4 linked regions of the Pelodiscus sinensis genome follow. The protein of the gene in region 2 purifies or fractionates together with the protein of the main gene of each other region. This does not show direct contact. Links are inferred from orthologs where the notes say so. Each region holds a gene or a part of one and is shown on either strand. Other genes may lie near its edges. The genes, in order: KCTD3, PTPN3, VANGL1 and VANGL2.

Evidence for each region.
Region 1: the proteins of PTPN3 (region 2) and KCTD3 purify together in Homo sapiens (affinity purification with mass spectrometry; 4 studies listed by BioGRID and IntAct, with this or other methods). This does not show direct contact. The link is inferred for Pelodiscus sinensis from reciprocal best matches to the Homo sapiens genes PTPN3 and KCTD3.
Region 3: the proteins of PTPN3 (region 2) and VANGL1 purify together in Homo sapiens (affinity purification with mass spectrometry; 4 studies listed by BioGRID and IntAct, with this or other methods). This does not show direct contact. The link is inferred for Pelodiscus sinensis from reciprocal best matches to the Homo sapiens genes PTPN3 and VANGL1.
Region 4: the proteins of PTPN3 (region 2) and VANGL2 purify together in Homo sapiens (affinity purification with mass spectrometry; 3 studies listed by BioGRID and IntAct, with this or other methods). This does not show direct contact. The link is inferred for Pelodiscus sinensis from reciprocal best matches to the Homo sapiens genes PTPN3 and VANGL2.

Annotation. Positions count from the first base shown.
Region 1 is NC_134713.1:149,721,782-149,729,687, reverse strand, and holds the start of KCTD3 (BTB/POZ domain-containing protein KCTD3), read right to left. Parts: upstream 3,010-7,906; 5' UTR 2,591-3,009; coding exon 2,517-2,590; intron 1-2,516. UniProt on the Homo sapiens protein: Accessory subunit of potassium/sodium hyperpolarization-activated cyclic nucleotide-gated channel 3 (HCN3) up-regulating its cell-surface expression and current density without affecting its voltage dependence and kinetics.
Region 2 is NC_134712.1:148,659,405-148,666,831, reverse strand, and holds the start of PTPN3 (tyrosine-protein phosphatase non-receptor type 3), read left to right. Parts: upstream 1-4,426; 5' UTR 4,427-4,529; coding exon 4,530-4,578; intron 4,579-7,427.
Region 3 is NC_134711.1:143,780,706-143,788,645, reverse strand, and holds the start of VANGL1 (vang-like protein 1), read left to right. Parts: upstream 1-4,923; 5' UTR 4,924-5,006; intron 5,007-7,940.
Region 4 is NC_134734.1:25,162,850-25,169,915, reverse strand, and holds the start of VANGL2 (vang-like protein 2), read right to left. Parts: upstream 3,001-7,066; 5' UTR 2,729-3,000; intron 1-2,728. UniProt on the Homo sapiens protein: Involved in the control of early morphogenesis and patterning of both axial midline structures and the development of neural plate. Plays a role in the regulation of planar cell polarity, particularly in the orientation of stereociliary bundles in the cochlea.

The sequences.
Region 1 (7,906 bases), on a different chromosome or scaffold from region 2:
GGGGAGAGCAAAACATATGTCAGCTCTGCCAGCCTGCTGGGGCTACACTGTTGTATAGGGATGGGGCTTTGTTCTTCACCATGCTGGGGTTGCCAGGCCCCACTGCCGGCCGGGGCTGCACTCCTCACTGCACTGCTGGCTCCACTGCCTCCAACGCAGGTAAGGCTGCATTTCCTGATGTGCCAGCTCGGCTGGGGCTGTGTTCCCTGCTCTGCTCGCTCAGCCAGGGCTACAGTCCCAAGCACTGGCCCCACTGCCTGCATCACTCCCTGCAACCAGTCCCAGACAGGGACTCTGCTGTCCACCATGCCAACCCTGCTGCCGCCAAGGCTGCACTTCCCAACGCCAGCCCAGCCCCTGAACCTAGCCAACAGGGGCTCTCTGATCCAGCAATATCCATGGTCTTGCTGGACCACAGATGTTGCCAGACGAGAGAGTCCCAGATTTTAGAGGTTTAACATGTACTAATTTTAAGTTATCACTTAGGCAGAAATTTTGGTGAATCAGAGATATAGTATAATCAGAGCCCTATGTAGTCTAAGATTTTGCAACATCTGCTACAGAGGATGTTTGCTGTATAACTACAGTATACAATACCAACTTTAAATTTTAGCAAGTTATGTTTCTAAACCACATGGCTATAAAGATAACCTCGAAAACACAAAGTAAGCAGAAACTAATGCAATGTTGTCTTGGTGAATCTCCAGACAGCTAGAAACTATTGCTCCATGAGGTATGAAGTATATTTGTTTCAATAAATTGTTCTCTCTTTTGTTTCAGGTTGCATTCTAAGGATAATGTCGACTATTTTGCTGCTTAATATTTTAGCAAAAACATTCAGTTAATATATTAAACACATAATCCTAAAATTGCTCTAATTGTTCTCTAACAAATCTTTAAAAACTTCCAGGCCAGATCCATCCCTCTCCCTCTGCATTCACAATGTACAATTAAGTTATGCACTTTAATACAGAATGCTTCCTGGTATTATATATTGAAAGCAGAAGAGCAGCAAAAAATAAGCCAAACTCAATATAAAAAAAAACTATACTTAGATTTACTTTTCATATTTCATAAAAACTTCAATTTTTAATAAATCTGAGGCAGATATATGTTCCAGGCTAAGATTGCTAGAGAATCCAAGGCCTTGTAGTACAGTATACATAAGCTTGGAATGATTAGATTTTAATCAGAAAAATGTTTAATTTCACTACACACAGAAACCAATACAAATATTTCCATTTAATCAAAATATACAAATAGGCAAAATAAGAAAAACGCCGCTTCAGCACTCATCATGACAACCATTTAAGGATATTTGCTTTGTTTATTTTGCATGTGAAAGCAACAATTTGTGCTTCAATGTTATAAAAAAATATTTTTTTAGATCTCAACTTCTATTGTCTTTAAAAAGCTATAGCGTGACCCTACCTCATAATTTCCTACAACTGTAAAAAAATTAAATATGTACACATTGGAAAAATACTTAGTCCCCAAAATTTTGCGCAAGAAAAAGAAAGAGAAATTAAGCATTCTTAAAAATAATCAGACATCAAAATTAATTATTAATTTCATTCTCCAACACTTCATTATACAGAACTCTGACTAGAACATTCCAACTCCTTAAATATGTTTTATTCCAAAAGAGCTAAATGCCAACGACAGACATAGAAGTGAGACACACATTACAGTAACCATTTTAAAACACTTAAAAGCGTTAGACATTGACTGGAATTGAAAGAGAACGTAGTGCTACAACATCCACTTTTCTCCTGGATGGTCCTGAGTTTAACTCCTTTGCAACAGGTTACATGGGCTCAAATTTTCTTTACCACCCAAACAGCTCCATCACAGACACAAAGCTACCTGCAATACAGCACAATAGACATTCATCCCTACAATGAAAATAGTGATAGAAATGTAGCCGTGTTAGTCTGTAGCCGTGTAGTCCCTACAATGAGTTCCTTTAGCAGCATGATGCCAACAAGACCAAAATGCAATGACAACTGGGTTGAGCCAGCGCTCAGCAGCTTCAGGACAAGCCCTATCAGCAGGAATTCAGGACAAGACAGACACAGACAGACCAGATTATGGAATAATGCAACAAGATCCAGGTGGACCAGGTTATGTGATATTAAATAAAAACAAATCCTGCCCTTGGGCCACCTGAGGGAGATGCACGATCCTCCTAGCCTTGAATCCCAAACCAGGGCTCTTCTCCCCATTAACTCCTCTGCCCCACGCCCAGCTCCCACTACCATCCCCCTCTCTCTGGTCCTCGGCTCCCCATTGATGGGTCTTCCCCTCCTCAAGCCCCGCTCACCTCCCCCAGGTCCTGGGGCTTCACTGGGGCTTCTTTCTCCCTCCCCATCCCCGGCTCCGGCCCATTCCCAGGCCTCCCTCCCTCCCTCCAGCCCATTGCTTGGGCTTCCCAGCCCCAGCTCGGACCCCTCGCTCCCCCATCCCCGCTGCGCCCCCTCCCGATATTGCCTATCCCGAGCTGCGCTCCAGCTCACCTGGTGCCCCCGACGTTGAGCTGGATGATCTCCCCGCTTCCCGCGCCGGCGAAGCCCCCACCGTTCCCCGCCATCTTCCCCGCCGCCGCCGCCGCCTGCAGCTCTGGGCAGCGCCCGCCGCCACCTCCCGGAGCCCAGGGAAGCAGCAGGAGGCGGCAGCTGGAGCCGGGGGGACGTGCTGCGGGGTGCCCGGGGCCGGGCCAGCACGGAAGGAACCAGGCCCCGAGAAGCTGCGGCCCCTCGGCCTCAGGCCAGCAAAGGCCGCGACGCCTCCTCTCTCCCTGGCCGGAGCCAGGCGGAAAGTGCCATGGCAACGCGCAGCACCTGGAGGAGGGGGCTCGACACGGGACAAAATACTCTGAGTTCTTCGCGAAACGGACCGGAGGGGAGGGGGTTCGAAGCCCACCACCGCCTCTTGTCTCGGGGAGTTCGCTCACGCAGCCCTTCAAAGGGGGCTAGCTAGACACGCCCACCCCGCGCGGGAATATACAGACACACACACGCCAGTCCTCAGTAGGGGAATGCAACCCTCCCCCTCCAGGGGAGCAGGGCCCATCCCCACACACCCCACAAGGAATTCTTCCGTGCAGTTTCCCCGTGGTTCACTGCTGTTGCAGTGGAGTTACAGCAGCGTAAAACTGGGCTACAGCAATGGTGGAGTAGGGCCTTTTTCAAGGGTTTTAGTCAGATTACTGAAAACCGAAGAAAAATGTGCACAGGACAAGGAGGGGGAGGAAGATTGTCAAGCTAAGAAGTTCTATTTACTTAATGCATAGAATTATTAATAACAGTCACATTCTTTAAAAAATGCTCAATTCACTATGCTCAATTTTTGAGAGGCCATTAACATTATGATTGCATTTCTTTTTCCTCACTCCTTTATATCCACAGGGAACATGATATCAAGACTGCAAAGATGGAAATCCAAAGTCTGAATTCTGTATGACAACTTTTTTTTTCTACTCATAAAATCTGAGACAAAATTTGAACATGACCAAGCTACTGAACCCTGCTACAGAAAGCTACTACAGCTAGGGAAACATGCTTACATTACTTATTATTATTAAGCATTAAGGCCAGTGGGATGAAATTAAAAGCCATTAGCTACCAAACAGATCACCTCATTAAACAGACATCGAAGGCTTGAGTCCATCAGAACCTCATTAACCATTGAGGGAGACTTATGGGTCCGAAAGACATGAATCTCCCAGGAGGTGGACCTAGACTATACAACTCACTCCTGCACAAGATAAGACTGATCACAGACTTCAGGATTCAGAACTACATACATAACTCTGTTGTTTGACTTGGTTTCCCATCTCCATTGTACTTTCATTTGGGAGTCAAGGGAAAAGGGGAGGGAAAAGGTAAATTCTGCTCCCTCTTCAGCTTCTCCAAAAGGGAAAGCTATAGAGGGATTTTTGTTTACCATACTTTTCATTATGTGGGACCACTGAAGGCCATGTAAGTACAGAGAGACTATGTCTTCACTGCAAGATCTTCCAGCAGAAAATATGCTAATGAGGAACTCATTAGCATAAGTCACAATCTCATTAGTATATTTTCTGCCGTTTCTTTTTGCATAAGCGGTTTTTGCGCAAAAAGAAGCAGTGTGGACGTGGGGGAGGAGGGTTTGTGCAAAACCCCCATTTTGCGTAAGATCCTTATGCCTGTCCTGGAGCGATATGGAGCTGCTCCATGCTCAAGGGTCCCATTGAAGCAGGCCATTGACTTATTAAAAGTCTTGCTAGGCTGGATCTGACCCCGTGGGGTGTATCGTGATTGCCCCAGCGTTAAAGGATAATGTGTATTGTCCTTTGTACAATGAAACATGCTGGTCATAAAGAGATGCACATCTCAGGTTGGCAGAACATATATTGCAACTCTGAAACCACAATGCAATTTGAAAACGAAATCAGCCTACTACAGCATGTAATGGAATTTTGACAAAGAAATAAATTACTATATAGTTTAGGAGAGAAAGTCATAATATTGTGGTTTGAAGGAGTGAGTGTATGCTGCCAGCTTTGTGACCAAGTCTTACAGCCAAGCAAGGTTTTACTGTTTTCAAAGAGTAAGAATTTATAAATCTGGGCTTTTTTCAAGTAGGTGACAATTTGACAAGATACAAAGGTCTTGTGCCAGTTACCCAGCACTATTTAAACCCAATATTGTCATTCTGCAAGGGCAGAGTGGCCATCAGGGTCACAGCCTTACAGTGGAACCTCTGCAGTCATTTTATGTTGTACAAGGGGGCTAATTGTTAGTTTCCAATTAGTCCATATAGAGAGAACCACCAGAGGTGGGCGAGTGTCAGAGCTATTGAATCTTCGCTCACGTGATTCAGTGGTATGAAGAGGGGTAGTAACTGCAATTTCAATCTGTATGCTGAAAAAGTATTTACAGAGAGGGGCTAATTATGGAGTGGATGCCATCCTCACGATCCCCAGGAAGTTCCTCAAACAAAACATTTACTATGATTTTTACCCTGCCACACACAGGCCCAGTGGTACTAACTGGTAAAGGATTCGATATTGTATAACACCACCTATCAGGCCTAACATACTCAGTACTCCTAGCACACTGCTTTCATAGTATTTATCAAGAAAGTGATGTGAGATCTTAAATGCAAACCAAGATCATACTGGTCATTAAGATAATTGTAAAACGTATTGCCTGACACTGTGTAAGGAGTTATTAATATATGCCAGAAAAGAAGTCTTTAAAAGTCTTACTCAAAGCAGGGTTTACATATAGGTTTTTGTCAAAGGGATGTACTGTCTACTTTGTCTACTGTCTTCTGTGGTTCACATTAGATGTGTTGAACTAATTTTTATAGTGGGGGGTTGCTGATGGAAACCATATATTTGGTTTTTGTTATTATTCAGTCAAGGGGTTCAGCAACCCCTTCTCTCTAGTTCTAGCATCATTAGTTTACATGTAAAATGAGTATTGTAAGCCAACACAATAGAAGGTCTAGTTGCATATTAAATTAACATGAAGTCAGCGCACCAGAGAATAAACTTGTGGGCAAGGGTGGTGTCATCCTAACTCTAGGACCAACAATGAATTTTGGACATATGAGGAAAAGGCAAAAGGATATCTTTTTATTTTTCACTGATAAGCAAAAAGGTTTTTTTTTCTTTGTGAAAGAGATGACAGCTATGTTGGTAGAAGATACTGTGAGATTTGTTTAGGTGAGATAAATTACTTGAGAGAGAGGGTTAGCCTGAAAAATTAAGTTTATAATCTAGGAAATATATTATATTTTGTTTTATATATAATAATGTGTTTCAACAATGTGTACTCACTATCTCTTAACTTAGCTTGTGATAATAAACTTACAATTGTTTTCACTAGAAATATACCTCAGTGCTGTGATATTATAAAAGAGTTGATCCTCAATTGAATCAAACCAGCTTGAGTGTACAGTGACCTCTTGAAGATAGCAACAATGCAGCCCTTAACCACTGAATACTTCAGGGAGCGCTTTGAGGATATACTCTGTGCCTTCTCACTAGTCTCCACATAAAGAAGTAGGTCCGCTGAGGCCTGGAAGGCAGTGCTTATGTTGCCAGAGGCGGTTGGTTTTACGGAGCTGACCCTCAGCAGACACAGATGAGACTGCTTCACAGTAATAGCAGGTAGTAGGGAGGTGCTTCACAACTCTGGCATCCTCTTAAGAGAGCCACACATGTTATCCCCATAGAAGTCACAATCCTAGCATCTGCAAAACCATTTTTTATTAATAGTGGTGAAATGCTTTCATTTTAAAGGGGTATCCCCAAAGAAAACTGTTGTGAGGAGTAGTCTACTTAGAAGTTTTAGATTCAGGAGGGGACTACAGTTCCACTGCCTTTTGTTACATAATCAGTAGTTAAGATTTTCTAAACATCTGTGAAAAGATTTAACTTTGCATCAGTCTACTGTCAGAGGAAAACCACAGCTATAGTTCTGAGGTTACCACAGATTGAAGTTAATGACTATTTCAGTGCATACACAGAGAAACTTTCCACAAGTGTACCACATGCAGAGATTTTGTGGGAAACACTAACATTTGCATAAACGTACCATTAATTTACTACAGTCATTATTGCTAAGAACTATTCAAACTTCTTATTGAAAGGGGAAAATGTCAACTTCAAAAGTTAACTTAAATGTCACTGCTTTGCCTGAAAATTGGTACAAGTTTCACCTAAGACTATTACATTTGAAAAAAAAAATGCTGGTCTTTTTTTAAAGTTATTTTGTACATTTCTATACGGATGTAAAATCCAATTTAAAATGTTAACCAGTTAAACTATATGTTTAACTGGTTAACCATAACATTGTAACATAGGCAAGGGGCAGCTAGAAAAGCTCCCTGCTCGTGTTGCAGAGCGATGGGCCTGGTCAGGCTGGAGCAACCACTCTCTGGGCAGCACGTGGGCCCAGCCGGCAGGGCCTTCCCCACCATGCCACAAACAGGGGGCTGCTTCAGTTGCGCTGGGCACCTGTCAACCAGTTACCCGGTAACCAGTTACCCGGTAAGGTTCTTCCTACATCAAAGATAGGGTTTCAAGTTAGTCCTCCAAATTCCTGAGATCCCAGGGAAATTATCTCTTCTTGAGACTCTCTGCTGTACAAATTCAGTAAGTCTGATGTGTCCTCTATGAAACATAATCCCCCTTGAAGCAGAATATATTTTAACATTCCTTTGGGAACTGTGAGGCTCTCTCCCTCCAATGCAGAGCTGTGACTAAGAGCCACCATGGAACCAACAATAAATAACACAAAAGAATATTGTATTGTATTTTTCCTTAATATTTAACCCTTTATTGTAAAATTTCTGTGAAGCTGCTGCTATGTGTTGAAGAAGCTAGGGAGCTTTATCACAGAATTTGACCCTAACTTGCATAGATTACACAAGGCACTGAACATATCAAAATAATACTTTGTGTGATTATGATGTATGATTTTTACAGTGTCCTTATGTATTGTAAAGACTCCTTACATTTCTCTATTCTGTTTTTGAGGGGGGTATGATTCTTATAAACTATAAGAAACTAGGAATATTACTTCTAAGAATAAATGGTCAGATTGTTCTTAGTTATTTTGAAGAGAGGGCAGGAAAATATCTGAAAATAGCCTTTAATTGTCTTGAATCTCAGTGGCATTATCTTTCACTGCTCCAGAAACAGTCCATTTACATGATCACCACATATTTGGACATAGCATTGGACATAGCTGGGAGGAGGAAAGATAAAACTTGAAAAAAGGTACTCTCATCAATATTATTGCTTACAAATCTCTATTCTATAGATATTCCTATGGAAGACCATGATGATTTCTCCAGCATATTTTATTCAATGATTGTTTTATGTTCTCTCACAACATACACAAAAGGGCAT
Region 2 (7,427 bases):
GGGATATTGAGTGAGTAAACAGTGTATTTCCTTGTGATGAATGTGATATGAAGTCTAGCAACCTTAATCCAAGATAATCCTAGGAGTGTAACAATTATAGGCTGTTGGGGTACGTCTACACTAGCCCCCTAGTTCAAAATAAGGAGGCTAATGAGGGCGACTGAAATTGCTAATGAAGCGCGGGATTTAAATATCCCACGCTTGATTAGTATATTCCCGGCCGGTCACCATTTTGGAAACTGACTAGCCCGAAGTAACTGCCCGTGTTTACACACGGCAGAGAAGCACGATTCCGAGATAAACCCCTTAGTTTGAATTAGCAGTTATGGAATGAGGTTTAACTGTTAATTCGAACTAAGGGGTTTATCTCAGAATTGCGCTTCTCTGCCGCGTGTAGACGCGGGCAGTTACTTTGGGCTAGTCAGTTTCCAAAATGGTGACCAGCCAGAATTTGCTAATCAAGCGCAGGATATTTAAATCTCGCACTACATTGGCAATTTCAGTCACCCTCAATAGCCTCCTTAGTTTGAACTAGGGGGCTAGTGTAGACGTATCCTTACTGTGAGGACGGAGAAAAATTCTTGTTCTTAACCTCTGAGGATAATACAGTGGACTTAAAATGCAGCAAGGGAAGTTTAGGTTGGACATCAGGAAAAACGTTCAAATTTTCAGGGTGGTTAAACTTTGGAATAAATTGCTTAGGGAGGTTGTGGAATCTCCATCATTGGAGATTCTTAAGAGGAGGTTAGACAAATACCTAGCAGATAATACTTAGTCCTGTGATTAGTTCAAGGGACTGGAATAGACAATCTCTCAAGGTTCCTTCCAATCCTGTGATCCTATGATTAACAAAGCTGTCTGTGTGGGAGTCTGATGATTATGTGCTGACTGGAGATTATGAAATAGAATCACTGTCTAAGATCTGCTGATGGAACCCAGACAGCAGGCCTTTGATTGCAGAAAGTCTCAACATAGTTGTACAATGATGTAAAAAGCCTGCAATCCTTGCTCAGGGATTGTCAACACAGCTGAAAAGTTAGCAGGACCAACTGGGGCAAGGCAGTATCAGAGTACACAGGGCATACTCTGAATCATAATAAATCTTGGATCACTTGCACCCACAGAGTTTAAAGCTGTCCTCCTGCTCCCTCTAAGTGATGAGTGAGTGTGGAAAAAGGAAAGTAATGTTTCAGGAGGGACCTTGTTTGTGTGTTACACTCAGAAGTGAAAACTGGGCCACATTTCTACCAGAGAAGCAAGTCATTGAACAGGTAACACTGACCTCTAGACATGTACAGTAAAAATCTCTTTCCCACAACTCTACCGGCTGCTGCATCAACTTTTGCACTCCTCCCACTGAGGAATCCCCACTCATAGACACCTGCCTCGATGGATGCAAATTGTACCATCCTCCTTCACCTGCAAAGGTGAATTATATCTCGATAGTCTGTTTTTAAAACTCTTGAATATGGACAGGGTCCTTTTTGAGTAATCACATCAAAATATGACTAAATACAAATAGTTGTATTTTGTTTACTGCTTATTAAATAAAATACATGAAATAAAATTCAGCAGCTGGAAAGCACGGCTTATTTGATCTGGACTATATCTATTCAAGACTATCATAAATGGGAAAATAACTCCTTAAGTGTTTGTTTTTCAGTGAAACAGACAATATCTGGGTCTGGAGAATCGGCAGCATGAAGAATGAGACACTTTATTTATCCAGGTGAGATAAAGACAGGAAATTGCCATATTATGTCATTTTCCTCCCAGCAACCTCCAGTGGACTTGCTGTTTCCATGAGGACTCATTGTTCCTAGAGGTGACAAGTGATTTAGCTTGTTTGACAACGTTCCATGCTGAGATAAGAAATTGGATATTTGCCAAATTACCCAGTATCTTTTTTGCATTGTTATGATAAGGTCACATTCCATTACCAATTTCTTTTTTTTTTTAACAGAGCACTTTATATATATGGTATTTCAGAGGTTGTCTGATTCATCACAATGTTTTGCAAGTGACTAATTAAAACACGTGGTTCCTTCATGTCTTCTTTCATCTACAGATTTCAAAGTAGTTTATAGAGAAAGAAAGCTATTATTTTCCCTCTTCTATAGCTAAGCATACAGGCATGGAATGATGAAGGAACTTGCCCAAGGTGACAGAGCAAATTAGAAGCAGAGTCAGGAACAAAACTCAGGTCTCCTGGTTTCCAGTCACCTGCTAACCATTAGACTGAACAGCTTTACTCGCAACATGGATAATCATGCAGTAGTGACAGAGATTGGAGGCTGTTATTGGCGATTGCTTGCAGTTAGAAAATCAGCCTAGCAGACTGATTGAAAAATTAAATAAATACAGGTTTCAGAGGGGTAGCCATGTTAGTCTGTTTAATAAAAAACAAGGAGTCTGGTGGCACTTCAAAAACTAACAGATTTATTAGGATATTAGGGCATAAGCTTTTGTGAGATGCAATTCAGTTCCACAGATGTTGAAGAGAAAAGAAAAGAGGAAGGGATAAATACAGGCCTCTTAGCAGTCAATTCTGGATCCTGCTCTGACCCTTCTATGACTCTCTGACAAAGGAAAGAGGCCATAAATGGAATGGAGGGCACCCTATGTGGCTGTTGTTTGCATGGGGCATATCACAGGGACGGACTGGCCGGGCAGGATACCGGGAATTTCCCAGTATGCCGTTGTCTGGTGGGCCATTGTGTCCACACATCGTTGCCCCTCACTCTGAGCGGCTCTGTGTCCGTGCTGTATGCAGCATGCAGAGCCCGACCCACTGCCTGCGCCGCGTGCCGGACATGACGTAGGGGGCGGGGTTTGAGGGGCACACAGGGGTGATGTCATGGGGAAGGCTGTTCTCAACCCATTTCCTGGGCCTATTTTGATTGCCAGTACGCATACCATCATAGGAAGGAACATGGGAAGGGTTTGGAGGGAGTAGTAGCTGAAGCTTTCATTGTCGTAAAGCTAGGCTACAGAGCAAAGGCAGCATAGGTCAAGGCTGCTGTAAGGTAAAGCAGCCCTTGAGGTTCTTCTAACTTGTGCCAGGATCCATTTTGTTGCCAAGGTGGCGTAAAAACACCTTTAGTATCTCCAGTCTTCCCTAGTTCCCTTGGACTGCGTAGTGCCCACGTGTGCCTGGCACTTCACAGACGTATGATGTTATTATCTCAATATGATCATTTTATTAATGCATGTGAGGATTTGCTACTGAATAACCTCTACTAAAAGACCAGTCATGTTGTATCACTTGAAGTTTAAATGGGAGTAGGGTGCTTCCATGCACACAATAACAAACCAGTCCTGATTTAAAAGTGAAAAATCACCAATTATTCTACATCAGCAAAATAACCTAAGTCCCCCAAGCTACTATTGTATCAGGAGAAAAGAGACATAATAGCTATGTCTACACTTGCGGCTTCATGCGCAAGAACAACTGTTCTTGCACAATAATCCACAGTGCATCCACACTGCCCACCCGCTCCTGAGCAAGAAGATTTACAGTATGGCGTGGTAAGAGATGGCTTCTTGCGCAAGAGGTATGCTCTTTTCTTACAAGTGTAAGCTCTCTTGCGCAAGAGCTCTTGCCAAGACAGCTTCCACTTATAAGAAAAGAGCGTAGCTCTTGCGCAAGAAGCCAAGTGTAGACGCTCTCTTGTGCAAGAAAGCTGCTTTAACTATAGAATTTTATTGCGCAAGAACTCCTGCCACGCATCCACACTGCCATGGGCGCTCTTGCGCAAAAGCACATCTCACACATGGCAGTGTGGACGTGTTCTTGTGTAGGACTCCTTGCACAAGAACCCTTGCGCAAGAAGTTCTTGCGCAAGGAGCCACCAGGGTAGACATAGCCAATGTGTATAGCAAAGCAGAGAAATACCAAACATTAAGAATGACTAAAAGTGATTAAATAATTGGATAGATTTTTAATTTGTCTGCATTTTTTATTTGTACCCAAGCATGACCAAAAACATACACCCAAACTGCACATATAGCAAGGCTGTTCTCCACTGACATATACAAAGCAACACTAATGAGAGTACCCAAAAACGTACACAAAAGAAAGAGGAACCCTTATTGTACTACACTGATTGGTAAAGTTTATTCACTATATAATCTTTATTTTAAATTCTGTCCTGTGTTTTTCACGAATACATTAATTAATTTTAAACTAATTTACCTTTAAAGTACACAGGCTGTTGGATTCTGTGGATTTTGGAACTTCAAATGAAGTATTAAGAAACTACTCCCTTTAACAACACAGTGCATAGACATAGAGCATTTTTTTAAGGGTGGACATTTGTTGCAATGAAACAGTTAAAACCTCTCCTGCAACATTAGATTTGTGTACCTGGACCTGTTTTACAGGTTTCTCAGGAGGGAAAATAACAATTTAATGTGACAGCACACAGGAGCTAGGCGTAAGAGAGAAGATCAGAAGTTTGCATAAGTGAGCTTCCCTTTTCAAAGTGCTGCTATTCAAGGGATCTTTCAAACACCCCTAAAGGACCATTATGGTGGAGCAGGAGATGTTATCAAAATGTTTTTGTCCTCAAGAAAAGTGTAAGTGACCACGTTTGATTTTTATATAAGAATCAAAAACATTACCTGACAGATCAAATGAGAAAAAAAGCAATTAGGTATGGGAGAGGAAAAGGAGAAGTCTTAAAACTATAAAGAATGAAGCAATTAACTTTATATTTCTAGACTTGCAATATAATCAAGGTTTTTACAGCACAAAAGAGAAGGACTCTTGTGTGAAGTATCTTGAAAGGTTTTTTTATTTAATGTTGGATTTATTGCTTGTATTAGCAAAGAACTGTATTGTAGTGTCTGCCTCAGTCGAGAGGACTTGAACAATGAGTTTAAATATCTTGAGTGACAGACTGAAGTGCTGTGAAAGCATTTTGCCACAACAGTGTGTTTTTTATCTTGCAGTGTCTTTTTTTTTTTTTGACACTGTGAAAACTTATTTTTTTTCTGAGTTATTGGCAAGCTTTCTATCAGCTTGTCCAAATGTCAGCTGAGAATTACAATGCAGTGACAGGAGTCTTAAATTGATCCAAGAAAATAACTTCCAGAGCTTCTATACTAATTTCTAATATTTCCTTTAATTGTGGTAAATTAAACAACTAGTGAATGATAAAAAGTCATCATGAATTTAGGGTTTTTTTTAATGTTAAGAAATCAACTCTCTTCCAGGCAATAGCAAATAGAACTTTAGGCACTACATGAACTAACCATGTAGCAGGAACCTGAAAGCTTAGTTGGCTGGAAACTAATGTATGTGGGTTGAATAACTTGGAGCTGGAGCTGTTTGAATCAATTCATCAGGGTGGAACTGGTGTGCTGATGAATCAGTTGAACACCCTGCCACAGTGAAGGACTGATGCAGAGACTGAAGGCATGCTACGCACTTTCAAATTGCTAGGTTTGTTTGGTTTGGAAGCTTAAGTAGGATGACTCCAGTTAACATTTTCTTCTAGGGCTATGTCTACACAGCAACATTATTTCAAAATAACATAGTCTGTGTCTACACAGCCGAAAGTTATTTTGACATAATGCTGAAATACTGTCAAGCTGCAGGACATCTTACTTTGACTCCTGTAACCCTCATTTTATGAGGAGTAAGGGAAGTCGGAGGAAGAGTGCTCTATTTCAAAATAAGTGTTATGTAGACAGCACCAAAACTCGAAATAAGCTATTTTGAAATAAGCTATGCAATTGACATAGCTCAATTTGCGTAGCTTATTTCGAGTTAAGCCCTGCTGTGTAGACACACCCTTGGAGAAGGATCAGCTTGGTTCTGAAAATAGAAATGTAGCTTGTTTCATGTTCTTTGTTTCAAGTTCCTGAAAGATTTTTTTTCTTTACACTGATTAAATAAGAAGAGAATCGGATAAGGTTGTCATTAAAAAGGAGAATCCTCCATGATAATTTTGTACTTTTGTCTTGTTCGTGACTGTTGGCAGAATCTTTCTGAACCTATTACTGAAGGTTTTATAGATCCCAAAAGGAAAGACCTAAGACCAGATCCTCAGCCCTTCTGCATCACTCAGCTCAAAGAGACTGTAAATTGGCTTAACTAGCCTCCTGAAGATAATGCTTGCATACGGAAGGTTTAGGGAGACCCAATAGCTATTCTCCTGCACTCAGGCCTCTGTGTTTGGAATGTGGTGGTTCACAAGGAGAGGTGGTCAGAGCACAGTTGTCCTCAACTGACAAGCTGCCCCTTTGGGGCCATAGGTAGCAGGAAGCAACTTAGAATGAACAGGGGATACTCTGAGGACTGAACCAATCCTTGGATCTCCCTGGCAAGCCTCTAGAATGCGGACTTAACGAGGCAGCATTAAGTCTTCTTTGCACCCATATCAGTCTTATACCAGGCTCAGCTTGACAGGCAAAGAAGCAGTCCCTACAAGGCATTGATGTAAAATGAATGCAATGGGTATTTTCAGGCTGCCCCAAATTATATTTAGAGTTGCTGTATTGTGGCTATAAAACTATGATTCTTGATCTTTTTTCTGTATATTGTACCTTTTAAGTTTATATGAAATCAATGTTCAGGAAGCAATGACTGTCTTGTTTCTGCCACAGTCTGTGCAGTACAAATTATTTCGAAATAGTTTTTGTGTATAGAGGCGTTATTTTGAATTAACTATTAGACATACCCTCAGAGAGTGAGGGGGAGACATTCCTGCCGGGATGGGGGGCAGAGGCTGAATGGCTGACCAGTGCATATGAGCAGCTGGACACCACTGCCATTTGATGAGCACATCAAGGGGCTGTATTATTCAGGGAAGCCTTGGGGGAGAGTTTCAGCCAAGGTGTGGCTACAGCAGCCACAAGTGCAGCTGAGAGAGGCTTCTGGAGGCTAATTATTTTGAATTAGCAGAACCAGATCATTCACACTAACACTATTGTGAAATAACAATTTCGAAATAAGCGTTATTTCCCAAGGAAAATAGGAGTATATATATTGAAATAATCAGCCCGTTATTTCGAAATAACAGGCGGGTAGCGTGAATGCTGCGCTTGTTATTTCAAAATACTAACTTGGAAGATCTATGATTTAATCGATATGGATAGTATCGCTAATGGTGCAGATCTCAACTTTTCCACGCCATCCTGTTTTGTGTGGTTCTTGTCCATATTCTTCCATGAATCTTCCATAAAGGACCCACACAACGTGCTGGAGGCCTTCCTCTTGTTCTTTTTATGTCTCGTGGATATCAGTGGAGTATGCGTGCTACCCAACTGTTGTCTCTCGGTCTCGCTACATGGCCAGCCCATCTCCTTTTCTGATTGTACATAACTTAGATATCATTGACATTACTTCTTGCACACAAATTGTCGATAGTAATATGCTATAGCCTATTTATACCACTATGTGTCTTTCCATTGCTCTTTGG
Region 3 (7,940 bases), on a different chromosome or scaffold from region 2:
ACTTCTCTATTCTTTCATTTATTATATCTGCCTTCACTTCCCCTCTAAACCAGGTAATTTTTTAAAACTAGTACAACTTTCTTCTTACATACATTGGTGGTCAATGACACACAGAGCAGAACTCTAAGGGGCTCTCCTTTGTGCAATAGGATCAAACTGGGAAATTCCAGCCCACTTGTCCCTTTGTTAAGCTTGCCCCAGATGCAAACCCCAGCATAGAAAAATCATTGTTCCACTGGAGTTGGTCAGTATTTGAGTCCCTCACTCAATGGCCCCATAATGCTCTGTCATTGTCCTTGCACAAATCATCATTCCAGGGCAGAGCAACTGTCAGGAATGCAATTCAATATGATGCCCTCAGGCAAGTTTAGACATGTGTTTGGCACATCATATAAAATGGAGTTAATAATCTGATATTCCATTTCTAGTACACCCTGGTCATATGCCACTGCAAAGTGGATATTGTACTGCTAAATACTAAGGGTACTGCCAAATCAGAGTGAAATGAGTTTCATCTAATTCTTAATCAGCTTTGTAACAGTCTGTTGTAACCCAAAATAAGATATAGATCAAATATAATAAATCAACTATGTATTATTACTAGGGAGGTAACCTAGTTACAGATGATGTGGGAAAAGCTGAAGTACTCAATGCTTTCTTTGCCTCTGTCTTCACAGACAAGGTCAGCTCCCAGACTACTGCACTAGGCAATGCAGTATGGGAAGGAGGTGGGCAGCCCTCAGTGGAGAAAGAACAGGTTAAGAACTATTTAGAAAAGCTAGACATACACAAATCCATGGGTCCAGATTTAATACATCCAAGTGTACTGAAGAAGTTGACAAATGTCATTTCAGAGCCTTTGGCTATTATCTTTGAAACTCATGGAGATCGGAAGAGATCCCAGATGATTGGGAAAAGGCAAATATAGTGCCTATCTTTAAAAGAGGGAAGAAGGACAATCCAGGGAACTACAGACCAGTCAGCCTTACCTCTGTCCCTAGAAAAATCATGGAGGGGATCCTCAAGGAATCTATTCTGAAGCACTTGGAAGAGGGGAAAGTGATCAGGAATAGTCAACATGAATTCACCAAGGACAAGTCATGCCTGACCAATCTGATTAGCTTCTACGATGAGGTAACTGGCTTTGTGGATATGGGAAAGTCAGTGGATGTGATATACCTTGACTTTAGCAAAGCTTTTGATATGGTCTTCCACAATATTCTTGCCAGCAAGTTAAGGAAGTATGGATTGGATACATGGACTGTAAAATTGATAGAAAGCTGGCTAGACTGTCGAACCCAACGGGTAGTGATTAACGGCTCAATGTCAGGTTGGCAGCTGGTTTCTAGTGGAGTGCCCCAAGGATTGGTTCTAGGGCCAGTTTTATTCAACATCTTTATTAATGACCTGGATGAGGGGTGGATTTGTATCCTAAGCAAGTTTGTAGATGACATTAAGCTAGGGAGAGAGGTAGATACATTGGAAGGCAGGGATAGGGTCCAGAGTGACCTAGACAGATTAGAGGATTGTGCCAAAAGAAATCTGATGAGGTTCAACAAGAACAAGTGTAGAGTCCTGCACTTGGGACAGAAGAATCCCAAGCATAGTTACAGGCTGGGGACCACCGAACGTTTAAGTAGCAGTTTGGCAGAAAAGGACCTGGGGATTACAGTGGATGAGAAGCTGGATACGAGTCAACAGTGTGCCCTTGTAGCCAAGAAGGCCAATGGAATATTAGGTTGCATTAGAAGGAGCATTACCAGCAGATCTAGGGAAGTGATTATTCCCCTTTATTCAGCTCTGGTGAGGCCACATCTGGAGTATTGTGTCCAGTTGTGGGCCCCCCGCTATAGAAAGGATGTGGTCTCATTGGAGAGGGTCTAGTGGAGGGCAACCAAAATGATTTGGGGGCTGGAGCACATGACCTATGAGGAGAGGCTGAGGGATTTGGGCTTATTTAGTCTGCAGAAGAGATGAGTGAGGGGGGATTTGATAGCAGCCTTCAACTTCCTGAAGGGAGGTTCCACAGAGGATGGAGAGAGGCTGTTCTCAGTAGTGAGGGTTGGCAGAACAAGGAGCAATGATCTCAAGTTACAGTGGGGGAGGACTAGGTTGGATATTGTGAAATAGTTTTTCCTTAGGAGGGTGGTGAAGCACTGGAATGGGTCCCTAGTGAGGTGGTGGAATATCCATCCCTAGAGGTTTTTAAGTCTCCACTTGACAAAGCCCTGGCTGGGTTGATTTAGCTGGGATTGGTCCTGCTTTGGGCAGGGGGCTGGACTTGATGACCTCCTGAGGTCTCTCTCAGATCTATGGCTGTGTCTAGACTGGCAAGTTTTTCTGCAAAATCATCTGCTTTTGTGGAAAAACTTGGCAGCTGTCTACACTGGCCACTTGAATTTCCGCAAAAGCACACACGATCTCATGTAAGATTGTCAGTGCTTTTACGGAAATACTATGCGGCTCCTGTTTGGGCAAAAGCCTTTTTCTGAAAAACTTTTGCGCAAAAGGGCCAGTGTAGACAGCAGAGATTTCTTTTCCCGCAAAAAAGCCCCGATCGCGAAAATGGCGATCGGGGCTTTTTTGCGGAAAAGTGCGTCTAGATTGGCCACGGACGCTTTTCCGCAAAAAGTGCTTTTGCGGAAAAGTGTCCTGCCAATCTAGACGCGCTTTTCCGAAAATGCTTTTAACGGAAAACTTTTCCGTTAAAAGCATTTCCGGAAAATCATGCCAGTGTAGACGTAGCCTCTGATTCTATATATTTCAGATACAACCTGTGGCATTACTCAGGGAAGAGGAGGACAAAAAGGGATGCATATAATCTACCATCCCCCAAATAACATCACAATAATCTTGTGCCCTGTGTTAACATATGACCATGTAGTCTATGCTCTAAAAAATTATTAAAGTGAAAGTATGGCTACAGCACCAGAACTGCGAGAAAACTCTCCCAACACTGTGTAAATCACTTAAATGAGGAGAGTAGCTAACAGTGCTGGGAGCTCAGCCTGTTTACTTGTGCTCAGTAGGGTGTTTTTTCACACCCCTGAGGGACAAAGATTTAGAGAAGTGCCAGTGTAGACATGAGTAGCATATCGTCTTACTTTAAATATAGTCTTATTTTAAATGACAGAATATTTACTAGTAGTTAAAGCACACAGTAGGAAGCCAGGAGATATCGATTCTATTGCTTGCTCTGCCATTGAAAATTCTAGGCTATGTCTACACTGCAGGCTTCTTGCTCAAGAATTTTTTGCACAAGAGTTCTTGCGCAAAAAGGTCTTGCGCGAGAGCGCATCCACACTGCCATGTGCTTTTGCGCAAGAGCATCCATGGCAGTGTGTATGTTCTCTTGCGCAAGAAAGCTCTGATGGCCATTTTAGCCATAGGAGTTTCTGGTGCAAGAAACTCCTGGTTTTGTCCACACTGCCTTCTTGCGCAAGAGCTCTTTTGCAAGAGGGCTTATTCCTTGTGGGGAGAGGAATAACTCTTGCGCAAGAAGCCTTCTCTTCTGATGCTTTACTGTAAATTTACTTGTGTAAGATCACGCATGCAGTGTAGATGCTCTGCAAGTTTTTGCACAAGAACAGCTGTTCTTGCACAAAAAGCCTGCAGTGTAGACGTAGCCCTACAGTCTAAATAAGACAAGACAAAAGGGGGAAACGGAGGCACAGAGCGGTAAAGTGACTTAGATCACAGAGGTCAGTGGCAAAGCCAGGAATATAACACAAGTCTCCTGACTCCCTGTTTAGTGTCCTGTCCACTAGACCACAATGGCTACCCACCAGACTAGGAAGAAGAAGCTAGACAAGGCAAGCAGGGAGAGAGCTCTGCAACTGCAGGGCTTATTTCTTGTCCTTGGTCACTTCCCTCACCCAGAGTTATTCTGTGCAGCCTCTATTGATTTATTGGATTCCTTTAAAGAGCACTGGGTGCTGACTGGACTACAGGTCACTGCAGCCTCCTGGCATGTGTGTCCATAGTGATTAATTGAGCCCTGGGTGGAGAGGGCTGATCTTGTAAGAGGGAATATTGCAAGAGTACTTGAAATGGATGCAATAGAGTGGAGGTGCAAGAGGTTGAGATGGGAGTGAGAGGATTTAGTGTGGGAACTGGGAAGGACTGGTCCTCAAAAAGGTGGGTGGGTGGGGAGGTGTGTGTAGGAGCCGGGTGCTGAATACATGGTGGCAGTGGTGAACGTAACTTCACATTTCTTTTAGGCACTGTCCTACTACAAGCTCGGTCCCTGCCAGCTCTTTCAGTAGCTCCCTGCTGGCTTTTGCCCCAGCTCTTGCCACTGTTAGGCTATGTCTACACTTGCGGCTTCTTGCGCAAGAAAACGTCCACGCTGCCACATGTGCGCTGTGCTTTTGCACAAGAGTGCCCATGGCAGTGTGGACGCTCGCTTGCGCAAGAAAGTTCCAACAGCCATTTTAGCCATAGGGTTTTCTTGCACAAGAAATCCCTGCCGAGTGTCGACACTGCCCTCTTCCGCAAGAGGGCTTACACCTGTTAAAAAAGAGCGTCGCTCTTGCGCAAGAAGCCCTCTCTTACCACGCCGGACTGTACATTTCCTTGTGCAAGAGCGGACTGGCAGTGTAGACGCGCTGCAGATTTTTGGAGTGTAGACATAGCCTTAGAGCGGAGCACTCATGTACTTACACGGCTGGAGGTTGGGATCCCTGCGGGGAGCTTGCAGTAGGTCCCAGTGGGAGAGCGACGAGCGGGGGGGGAGGAGAGGCAGGAGGCTGCGGGGGTGCCAGGTGGCGGCCTCAGCACTGGAGGTGCTTCGGGGAGTGTTGTTGTGGGGGGTGCTGGAGCGGGGTGGGGGTGTCCTTGGCCGCTCACAGCAGATGGGGGGGGGGGGGGGTCTTGCAGGGGGCGGTCCCTGCAGGCGGGGCGGGCTGCAGCGGGCGGGGCGGCGCCGGGCACAGGAAGCGGAAAGCGGCGGGGCTAGCGACTGCAGCGGGGCTGGCGCCGGGAGCAGCATGGAGCGGCCGCGAGAGGTGGGTGCGGGCGGCCCGGCTCCCCCTGCGGCTTCCCCGGGGCCCCACCCTGCACGCGCCCCCCTCCCCTGCCGCCGCCCTGCACGCGCCCCCGGGGCTGCCCCGCCGAGCCGCTCCCTGCGGGGTCCTGCTGCGGCGGCTCGCGCCCCGCTCCCCACGCGCGGGGCAGCATCCCCGGGCACGGAGGCCCTGCCCCCCCCCGCAGTCCCGCACCCCCCAGCCGGGCCTCTTCTGCCCCGCCACGGGCGTGCGCTCTGCCCCCTCTCCCAGGGGCGCCGGCCGGCATGGGCATGGCTCTGGGCTGCGTGCGAGCTCGAGCCTGTGTCTGGTGGCCCCGGGGGCTTCACTCTGGCAGGAGTCTCTCTACCTCCGTTGAATCGGAGTGGGGGGGGACAGGCGCGGGGAGGGGGGGGGCTTGCAAGTCCTAGCTCCCAGCGAGTGCGCTTGTTAGTTCCAGCTCCTGGCTAGTAGGTGCCTGATCCCCGCCCCTTTTGGGCACCCCGCGCACCTCTCCCCCCCCCCCCCCACAGCCTCCTGATTACTGCATGGGTTGCCCAAGCCTCTGTTTTCTTGTTCGTCTGCCTCTGCTGCTCAGAGCGTTCCCATGTGTCAGCATGCATCAGATGAGCGTCTTGTCGTTTGGCACGGCTGCCCAGAGTCCTGGATAAAAGCAATGTGCAGAACTGGGCTCTCGCTAACTTCAGACTATGTGCCGCGGCCCAGGCCCACTGGGGCTTGCCAGCAGACCTGAAAAGACTACAAGATTGCCAGGGAAAGCTTCCCACTCGTGGGAATACATTTGTAAAGCCCCGTGTGGGAAGCAAAGTAATAATGGATTAATAAACAAGTGAATTAAAGCTGAGTTCAGTGCTCCTCAAATATATCTAGTTCCCTGGATGATGTCCATTGAAGTTGTTTAAATTCCAAGTCCTGCGTGTGGGCAACTGTAGGTGTGTGTATAAGACACAATTTGCAAGTAAAGCATAACGTGATTTAGTTATACAGAAGTTGGTTTGATCAGGTGGTCTACTGTGACAATTCATGACTACACAGGCCTGTGTGGTTGCCTGTTCTTAGACCATGGCGATTTAATAACCTTTAGGGAACAGAAATAAGTCTTAACACCCTTCTGCTTCAAAAGCATAGGCCTGCATCTGGGCTGCAGAGGACTGGCACTCCTGTAGTTTTTAGCAACATAGGGTGTGATTGTGTCCCTGCAGAGGACAAAGTTACTACTTTTGTCAGTTTGTTATATCAGTTGTGAACTTTGAATGACCGGAAAAAAAAAAAAGAGAGAGAGAGAATTAATTCCATTGTTTAGAATGTTTACTTAATGGTTCGAAATAACATTCTTGCTCCAAAGGCTGGGCTCTTTAGCTACGTGTTTCCTGAAGATGCCAGTGTCAAGGTATCAGCCCATCTAAGGAGGCCCAACTAACAATTGTACTGAGTGCTAGAATATCAGTTGGGGGAATAGTTTTGATTAGTGGGAGATTTTTTTTTTTTTTTTTTTTTTGCTGTTCGGCTTAGTTATTCTTGCCTCAAAGTTGCTGTGTATTTAACCTTCTAAGAATTTGATTTTAAACAGGCTTGCCTTTTTTCCCCTTTTTGTGGTTTGAATATATAACTGGCTGTGAAGATGGGACCAGTACTGGTCCTACAGGAATTGATTATCTATCTATTTTTAAGATGAACAAATCAGAATTACAGAAAACCTCCCGTTTACAAAAACAAAACAAAAAAACAAAAACAAAACCCCATTTACAAAAAAAAAAAAAAAAAAAACGCCTCCCATTTACCAAAAAATTTTGCAAGTCAAAATTCTGGAATGCTTTCCAGCACACGTTCAGCCACACAGAGAGGTAGCTAACGGCCAATGGCTATCCGCCAGGAACATGAAAGCTATGCAGATACAGAGACTACCTCTAAATTAGTATTCTGCTGCTAAATTGCCATGTTTGCTACTGTTCTTTCACCTCTGCCATTGGTGGGAAGGTTAGTGTAGTCAGGGCTCCAGATAGTGACCAGTATTCTAAGCACCATAACCTCCGACACTGCTCAGAGCATGTTTGCATGAAATAAATTGTCAGAATGCTAGCAGCTGCTAGTGCCTTGTTGATTTAGTTCTCCCAAAAGAAGAGGAAAGGGCTGACAGGGTACTACTGTCAAAGTAATATGTTTGGGAAATAATTCCTTCCTTTCACTTCAGGTTTGCTGTCCCATGGAGATGATTAGAGGGATTTCACACTTCTTTTTGGTGTAAATCCTACCCTTCCTCCATGGTTTTTAAGGCATTACAAAGCCCAGTTCTTTCCCCCAAAAGGATGGGGGAGCTCCTGCAAGAGATCCCAGGTTGTGGAGCCCAACTAGATTGCTCTGTAGGGATTTGAGTTTGGGATTGTAGTTCCACTGACTTCCATCCCCTCCCTTGAAGTGTAAGCAGTGCAAAGGGCCCTACAGGGTAGGGCAGCTCCCCGAAGAGTACAAACAGACCTCTCAATTGTTTTCTAGAGTCTCAGCTTTTATTTGGAAGAACCCCCAAAAGTCTAGCTGTTAGAGAACTTTGAAAACATGACCTTAATATTGCCAATGCAGATTAGTATACCTGCATTTGCCAGGGGCCTGAAACAATGGTTCCGAGATTGAACTGCCCTGTTTGTTTTAATGAACACAAACTCGGAGACCAAGATGCTTTAAATGACAAGTGTTCACTATGTCACTGCTCATGAAAGCATAGCCTTCACAATAGGATATAACACCAGAGTTTCTTAAAGTGTTGGTTGTTGTGGGGGGTCCCCTTCCAAGGGGCCCACAAAAGAGTAGAGGCATGGGGGGCATAGAGGATGTAAAAACTAAGAGGTACAGGCTCAACTTCCAAAAATTTGGAGAAGGCTGCTGTAGCCTTAGAGCTGGAGGAGGAGTCACAAGGAAGCT
Region 4 (7,066 bases), on a different chromosome or scaffold from region 2:
GGGAGAGGAGGATGGTACCCGAGCACCGGCGCCCTTTGCGGGAGAGCGGCTAGCCAGGCCTTGGCCCCAGCCCTGCATGGAGCCTGTCACTGGGGCCCAGCTCCCCGGGATCCCTGTGCAGGGTCCGGCCCTAAGGAAGCAGCACAACAGCCTGCAGGATCCCCAGGCAACCAGGCTTAGAGACACGGTGGCCTATTTGCCCTCCTCCGCTCCAGCCATTCACCCGGCACAGAGCTGCCCGTGGCAAAGCCCCGCCCCTCTCCACGGTCCCGTCCGCTCGTGCTTTGTGTCTCCCCACGAGGAGCCCGGCAGTGGGAGCTACAGGCACTGGGAGCTAGAGGCAACCGACGCTGCCTGCCCTGAAGAGCTTACGTCCAAAAACAGACAAGCCTGGTAAAGGACAGGAAGGGAAACTGAGTCACACAGTGTCTTTTGGTGCACATTGAAGGCGCACTTGGCGCGCCCCTCACTCAGCCACGGTCATCGCCAGCTTTGAGACAAAGCGCATAGTGGGGGTGCGGGGAGCCGCCGAAGCCAACTGCAAACCCAGCCTATGCTGGAAACGCCTTCAAGCCAGCGGGTGCAGCAGCCGCCCCCCTCGGTCCCAGCCCCCACTGCAAGGGCTGGTCATCTCGTCTGCACAAACCCGGCCCCCTGGGACACGGATCCATGTTCCGCTTCGCTTCACTGCCAGCTCATTTGCACCAAAGGGCCTTGAGCACAAAGGCCGCCCGGGCCATGCGGTGTCGCTGACCCCCACAGAGCAAGCTCAGCCCCACGCCAGGTCAAATCTCAGAGTCACTCCTGGGGTCCCCGGGCCTGGGAGGGTCAGGCCAGCCCTCCCCCCCAGCCTTGAAATCGACAAGCCACTGCGGAGTGGAGTTTGCTCAAAGGCTCTGACATCCCCTTAGCCCTCGACAGCCACCCCGGAAAGGCCGGAGCCCAAACTCAGCACCCAGGCCAGCCAGGAAAGGAGCCATCTCCGGCTGGAAATGAAGTCATCTGCTAATTACATCAGCGGGATTCGGTGCAGTAACTCCAGGGGAGTCGGGCTGGCATGAAGCGAGACCAGGGACCAGACGCTGTCTGCCTCCGAGCCCAGATAGTCCCAACACAATCCAGAGCTGCTGTGATTAAGCGCCCGCCCCAGGGGCCCTGGGAAACTATTTTTTTCAAAACCTCTTCGTCAGTGATTCCAAGGCCTGAGGGGAAATGGACTCTCGCCCCCTTCCATCGGGAGACAAGGTCCCAACCCAGGCCGAGACCTGAAGCCAGATCTGGAGTAATCCAGGAGTAACTCCAGTCGCCGCTCCACTGTGCCAGAGGTCAGACTGGTGTAAACAAGCTCTGAATCCGGCCCCTCGCTCACTCAGATCAGGGCAAGCAAGGCTGGCGCATCCGCCTGGGAGTAACACACATTCACATCTTTGCCCGCAGCCCCACCAACACTTACTTGTGCTAATTCCTCAAAACAAGGGATCATCACAGGGGGCGAGGGGGCCAGATACGAAGCATGAGAAACGCCCCCAGCCTGCCCCAAGTCAGGATAATTTAACCCAGTTGCCAGGCCAAATTGCCACCTTTCATTTGCACAAACTGTGCAATGACAAGAGAGGATATTAGGGGGTGTGTGTGTGTGTCTCCCCCCCGCCAAGGAACATGAATTTGCACCAGCCCTGAGACATTCCCCTCGGCCCCATGAGGAATTCGGGTCTTATCAAGACTTGGGAGTTTGTGCATGGATGTAGTTACACAGATACAAATCCCTAGTGCAGATACAACAGCATGGGTGTAAAAAGGTGATTTACACCACTGACAGCTCTCCCTGCTTTCTCCTGCCTGGGGGGTGCACCCCTGTTTACACGGAGGTCTGCACTAGTGCAGCTGTGCACGGATAACCTAGAAACCTTAAAACATACCCAGCTTTTCTGTATTGGGAGGGTCTAAATGCTTCCTTGTTTTTCCACCTGGCAGGCACTTACATTGGCACCATGAATTTCACATGATTGTTAAACCAAAGGTAAAAAAGGGGAGGAGGGGAGACTTGTTGGAATACAGACCAGGCATCCCCTTCTCCCCCGTGTGTCTGGGCCCCCTTTGATCCCAGCCTCCCCCGCTGCGCATTGGGGATCTGGCTCTCCCTGCCGGGTGGTCTGGCTCGTGTGAAAGGGACCCTGCCTGCGGACAGCCCCCTCCTGGAACTGCTCCATCTGCAAAGGCCAGGGCGTGGGGATGAGCCGTGCAGAACCCACCCCCACCCCTCACAGTTAAACAGAGGTGGGAAATCAATAGCGGCCCCCCCTTTCCTCGGCTCCGGGTCGGGCCTTCCACAAATATCTGCGCCTCCCCCGCAGCAAGCAGCCCCACCTGGCCCCGGCCCCAGGAAAGCCCCCGGCTCTGAGGCCTGCGCGTGCAGGGAAGGGGGAGCCGAGCCGAGCCGAGCCAACAGGTCACACCAGGCCCACTGCCCCCCCCCCCCGCGTGAATGGAAAATTGCCCCGCGCCGGGGACCCCCCCAACCTGCTCCCCGCCGGGGATCCCCCCAACCTGCCCCCCGCCGGGGATCCCCCCAACCTGCCCCCCCCGCCGGGGACCCCCCAACCTCCCCCCCCCCGGGGACCCCCCCAACCTGCCCCCCGCCGGGGACCCCCCCAACCTGCCCCCCGCCGGCGGCTGCTCCCTGCGCCCGCTCGGGGCCGGCGCTTTGCCGGGTCCCGCCCCGACTCACCAGGCAGCGCCCCGCGATCCGCGTCGCTCTCGGCTACAGCCCGGGGCCCCGGCGGGCTCCCCCGCGGCTCCGCCCGGCCCCTTTGTCCGCGCCCCGCGCCCCGCCAGCCGGCATGGGGCCGGCGCTCGCCCTCGGCCCGCAGCAGCCGCCCGGCAGGAGGCGTCGCGCCCGGGGCCGCCCGCCCGCCCGGGAATCGCGGAACCCGGCCGGGAAGCAAAGCGCCTGGGAACGGCAGCGTCCTGCGCCCGCCCGCGCGCGCGCGTGTGTGTGTGTGTGTGTGTGTGTGTGTGTGTCCCCTCGCGCCGTGTGACCCCTCCTCGGCTGTTCCAGGAGCCGCTCCCCCGCCCCCCGCTCCCCATTGTCTGCGGGATGAAGTTCCCAGAGTCCCCCCCCCCCCTTTTGTTTTACTGGGACTCGGTGCTAAGGGGGGGAAGGAGCGGCGAGCGGGGGGGGGGAGCGCAGTGTCTGCCGGGCTCTTTCTTTGGAAGATTCCTGCGGGGGGGGAGGCGGCCAACCCTTCAGATTTTAGGGGGGGGAGGCTTTCCTGTGATTTCCCTCCCCCCGCAAGCGGGAGCGGGAGGGGAACTAGATGCCCAGCCTAGCCCAGTCCCTGGCATTTTTCTCTTGTTACGTGAAGGAGACGGGAGAAAACCACAGAGCCCGCCCCGCTCCGCCCCGCCGACTGAGGATGAAATTAAGCTCCCCCTCCCCGCAACTTTTTACTAAGGCTGGGTGACGTCAGTGGCCCCTGTCCCGCACACAGAGCCACGCAGACTGGCCCATGGGTACTTCCCTCCTCTCTGATTGGCCCAGCCCTTCAGGCACTTAGCGCCATGAATTGGGCTCCGATGCACCCCTGCCTTACCCTGAACTTCCGGCCCCCTTTTGCAGCAGGAAGGGCCAAGAGGGCGTAGAGCAGCCCCGGACCAGAGGGGTTGCACCGGTGTAAATGACTGGGCAAAAAAACAGGGCAGCTGTATTTACCCCATGGTGTTTAGAACCTTACAGCTCCCACAGTTCTCACTGAAGGGCCAGGACCATTGATCTCAAGGGGGATTCTCCACAGTTCTTAATGAGGGGCCAGGACCATTGATCTCAAGGGGGATTCTCCACAGTTCTTAATGAGGGGCCAGGACCATTGATCTCAAGGGGGTTTCTCCACAGTTCTTAATAAGGGGCCAGGACCATTGATCTCAAGGGGGTTTCTCCACAGTTCTCAATGAGGGGCCAGGACCATTGATCTCAAGGGGGATTCTCCACAGTTCTTAATGAGGGGCCAGGACCATTGATCTCAAGGGGGTTTCTCCACAGTTCTCAATGAGGGGCCAGGACCATTGATCTCAAGGGGGTTTCTCCACAGTTCTCAATGAGGGGCCAGGACCATTGATCTCAAGGGGGTTTCTCCACAGTTCTCAATGAGGGGCCAGGACCATTGATCTCAAGGGGGATTCTCCACAGTTCTTAATGAGGGGCCAGGACCATTGATCTCAAGGGGGTTTCTCCACAGTTCTCAATGAGGGGCCAGGACCATTGATCTCAGGGGGGATTCTCCACAGTTCTCAATGAGGGGCAATGGCCATTGATCTCAAGGGGGATTCTCCACAGTTCTTAATGAGGGGCCAGGACCATTGATCTCAAGGGGGATTCTCCACAGTTCTCAATGAGGGGCCAGAACCATTGATCTCAGGGGGGATTCTCCACAGTTCTCAATGAGGGGCCAGGATCATTGATCTCAAGAGGGTTTCTCCACAGTTCTCAATGAGGAGCCAGGATCATTGATCTCAAGGGGGATTCTCCATAGTTCTCAATGGGGGGCAATGGCCATATGGCCATTGATTTCAATGGGGAGATTTTAGGATCCCCCCCCCCATTTACATTGTAGCTGTCCACAGAAGTGTGGTTGGTGGGAAGTTTGTTTTGAATGAAAACCTGAAAGCAGAAAATTGTACAGTTCTATAAAACAAGCCAGTTTTTTAACCAAACCTCCAAATTGTTGGCCGCTGGCTGCCGACATAACAGCGCCTGATCTCGGCAGGGGTCTCTTGCCACCGCTGTGCTATTTATGGCAATAATAAATAAACCAGTTAAGCTGCACTTGCTGACTCCTAACATCTTCACTGGGTAACTTCACACTTCCAGTCTTTCTCAGGCCTTCCTCCTGGCAGCTTTTGCCCAGGTTGCACTACTCACAGAGGCTGTGTCTAGACTGGCCAGTTTTTCCAGAAAAACTTGCCAGCTGTCTACATTGGCTGTTTGAATTTCCGCAAAAGCACTGACTTCCTACTGTAAGAAATCAGTGCTTCTTGTGGAAATACTATTCTGCTCAGCTATGTCTACACTGGCATGATTTTCCGGAAATGCTTTTAACAGAAAAGTTTTCCGTTAAAAGCATTTTCAGAAAAAATCGCATCTAGATTGGCAGGATGCTTTTCCGCAAAAGCACTTTTTGCAGAAAAGTGTCTGTGGCCAATCTAGATGTAGTTTTCTGCAAAAAAGCCCCAATCGCCATTTTCGCGGCTTTTTTTGTGGAAATCATTTGCGCAAGAGGGCCAGTGTAAACAGCACACTACTGTTTTCCGCAAAAAAGCCCCGATCGCGAAAATGGCGATCGGGGCTTTTTTGCGGAAAAGCGCGTCTAGATTGGCACGGACACTTTTCCACAAAAAGTGCTTTTGCGGAAAAGCGTCTGTGGGCAAAATACCCCCATATCAGAGGGGACCTCTTCCACAGCCACTCGGCTCTGGTATAAATGAGTATGCAAAAGCTCAAGCAGCAGAGGCTGATGGCATTTAGTGCTAATCTTTGGGAGATCTCACAGCACTGGACAGGGCTGTAGTGTTGTCTTCATTAAGTGGGGAAACTGAGGTATCAGTGGAAGTAAAGCAACTTGCCCAAATTCCTCAGTTAGCCAATGATAGTGCTGGGAAGAGAATCCAGCTCTTCTGAGCCTCAGAGCTGTGCTCTAGCCACTAGTCCCCATCACCTCATATATATACACACTACTGCCCAGCCAAGTTTGGGGCCAGTGTTCTCTGTAAGCACTTTGTGAATGCTTGGGTGGCCACCCAGGAAAGATTCAAATGCGACCCAGCTGATCAGCAGAGCACCCACAACCTGCAGCCTGGGTGGCACACATCCACACATGCCCAGTGCCACATGCGGCACTCATCCACACATGCCCAGTGCCACATGCGGCACTCATCCACACATGCCCAGTGCCACATGCGGCACGCATCCACACATGCCCGGTGCCACATGCGGCACTCATCCACACATGCCCGGTGCCACATGCGGCACGCATCCACACATGCCCGGTGCCACATGCGGCACTCATCCACACATGCCCGGTGCACAGAACAGAATTCATTCCACACATGGCGGGAACACTGATTGGGGTTGTTACATTCAGAGGTTTCCCTTCACCCTTCATACATCTTCCATTGTTGTTAGAGACACAAAAATTGTGCTTGGTCTGAGACCCCATTACCTCACACTATGCAGGCCATTGTGTCATCCAACTGTGATCCATATGAGGCTGAATGGAAAGCTGTAGCTAGCTGCTTCAAGGCCTCGTTACTTGTCCCCTAACCATACTTACATTTTCCTTCCTCCCTGTTGCCCCAGGGCACCTGGAGTGACAAATTGCGCAGCCCTCTAAGGAGATTAGCAGACATAATGAGAGGAAGGAGACAGGAGAACTCCGAGAAGGTGGCACAGACGGTCTAGAAGGGAGGAAAAGTCACGTTCACTGTTTATAAACTCATCACAAAATCTCAGGCAGTGGCCACCTCTTCTTTCATGAACCAAGGGCAGGACAATGAGGGATGGTGCAGCCAGGGGAATTACGCTGCATCTCAGGGAAACCTCTATTCTAGCCATGAAAAGACAAAGTCAGAGTGCCCGGGAGGTTTGGAATAAATTCTCCAGGCTGATCCTAGGCACCAGTCTCGCCCCAGTGGCACATAAAGGGATATCAGGCTGGAGAGGCATGGATAATTATGCCAGAACCCAGCCTCTCCCTGCAGGGGTTGCTGTAGTGCACAGAATGGGAGCCTTGGCTGTGGAATGGGGCGAGACACCAGTTGTGGTTTCTTCCAGCAGGGAGTGTTGTGGGAATGAGGCAGGAGTGTGAGCTGTGGGTGGTGCCCCCGGAGGCATCGGGTCTGCTCTGTGGGAGGTGAGGGAGGGGGCGGGAAATGGCCCGATCCTCCAGTTCCAGCCTCTCCCAGCAATGGGAGAGAAAAGCTGAGGGCACCTGCTAATGCACTACCTAGGGCGGGGGTGGAATCTCCATCCCTAGAGGTGTTTAAGTCCCAGCTGGCCAAAGCCCTGGCTGGG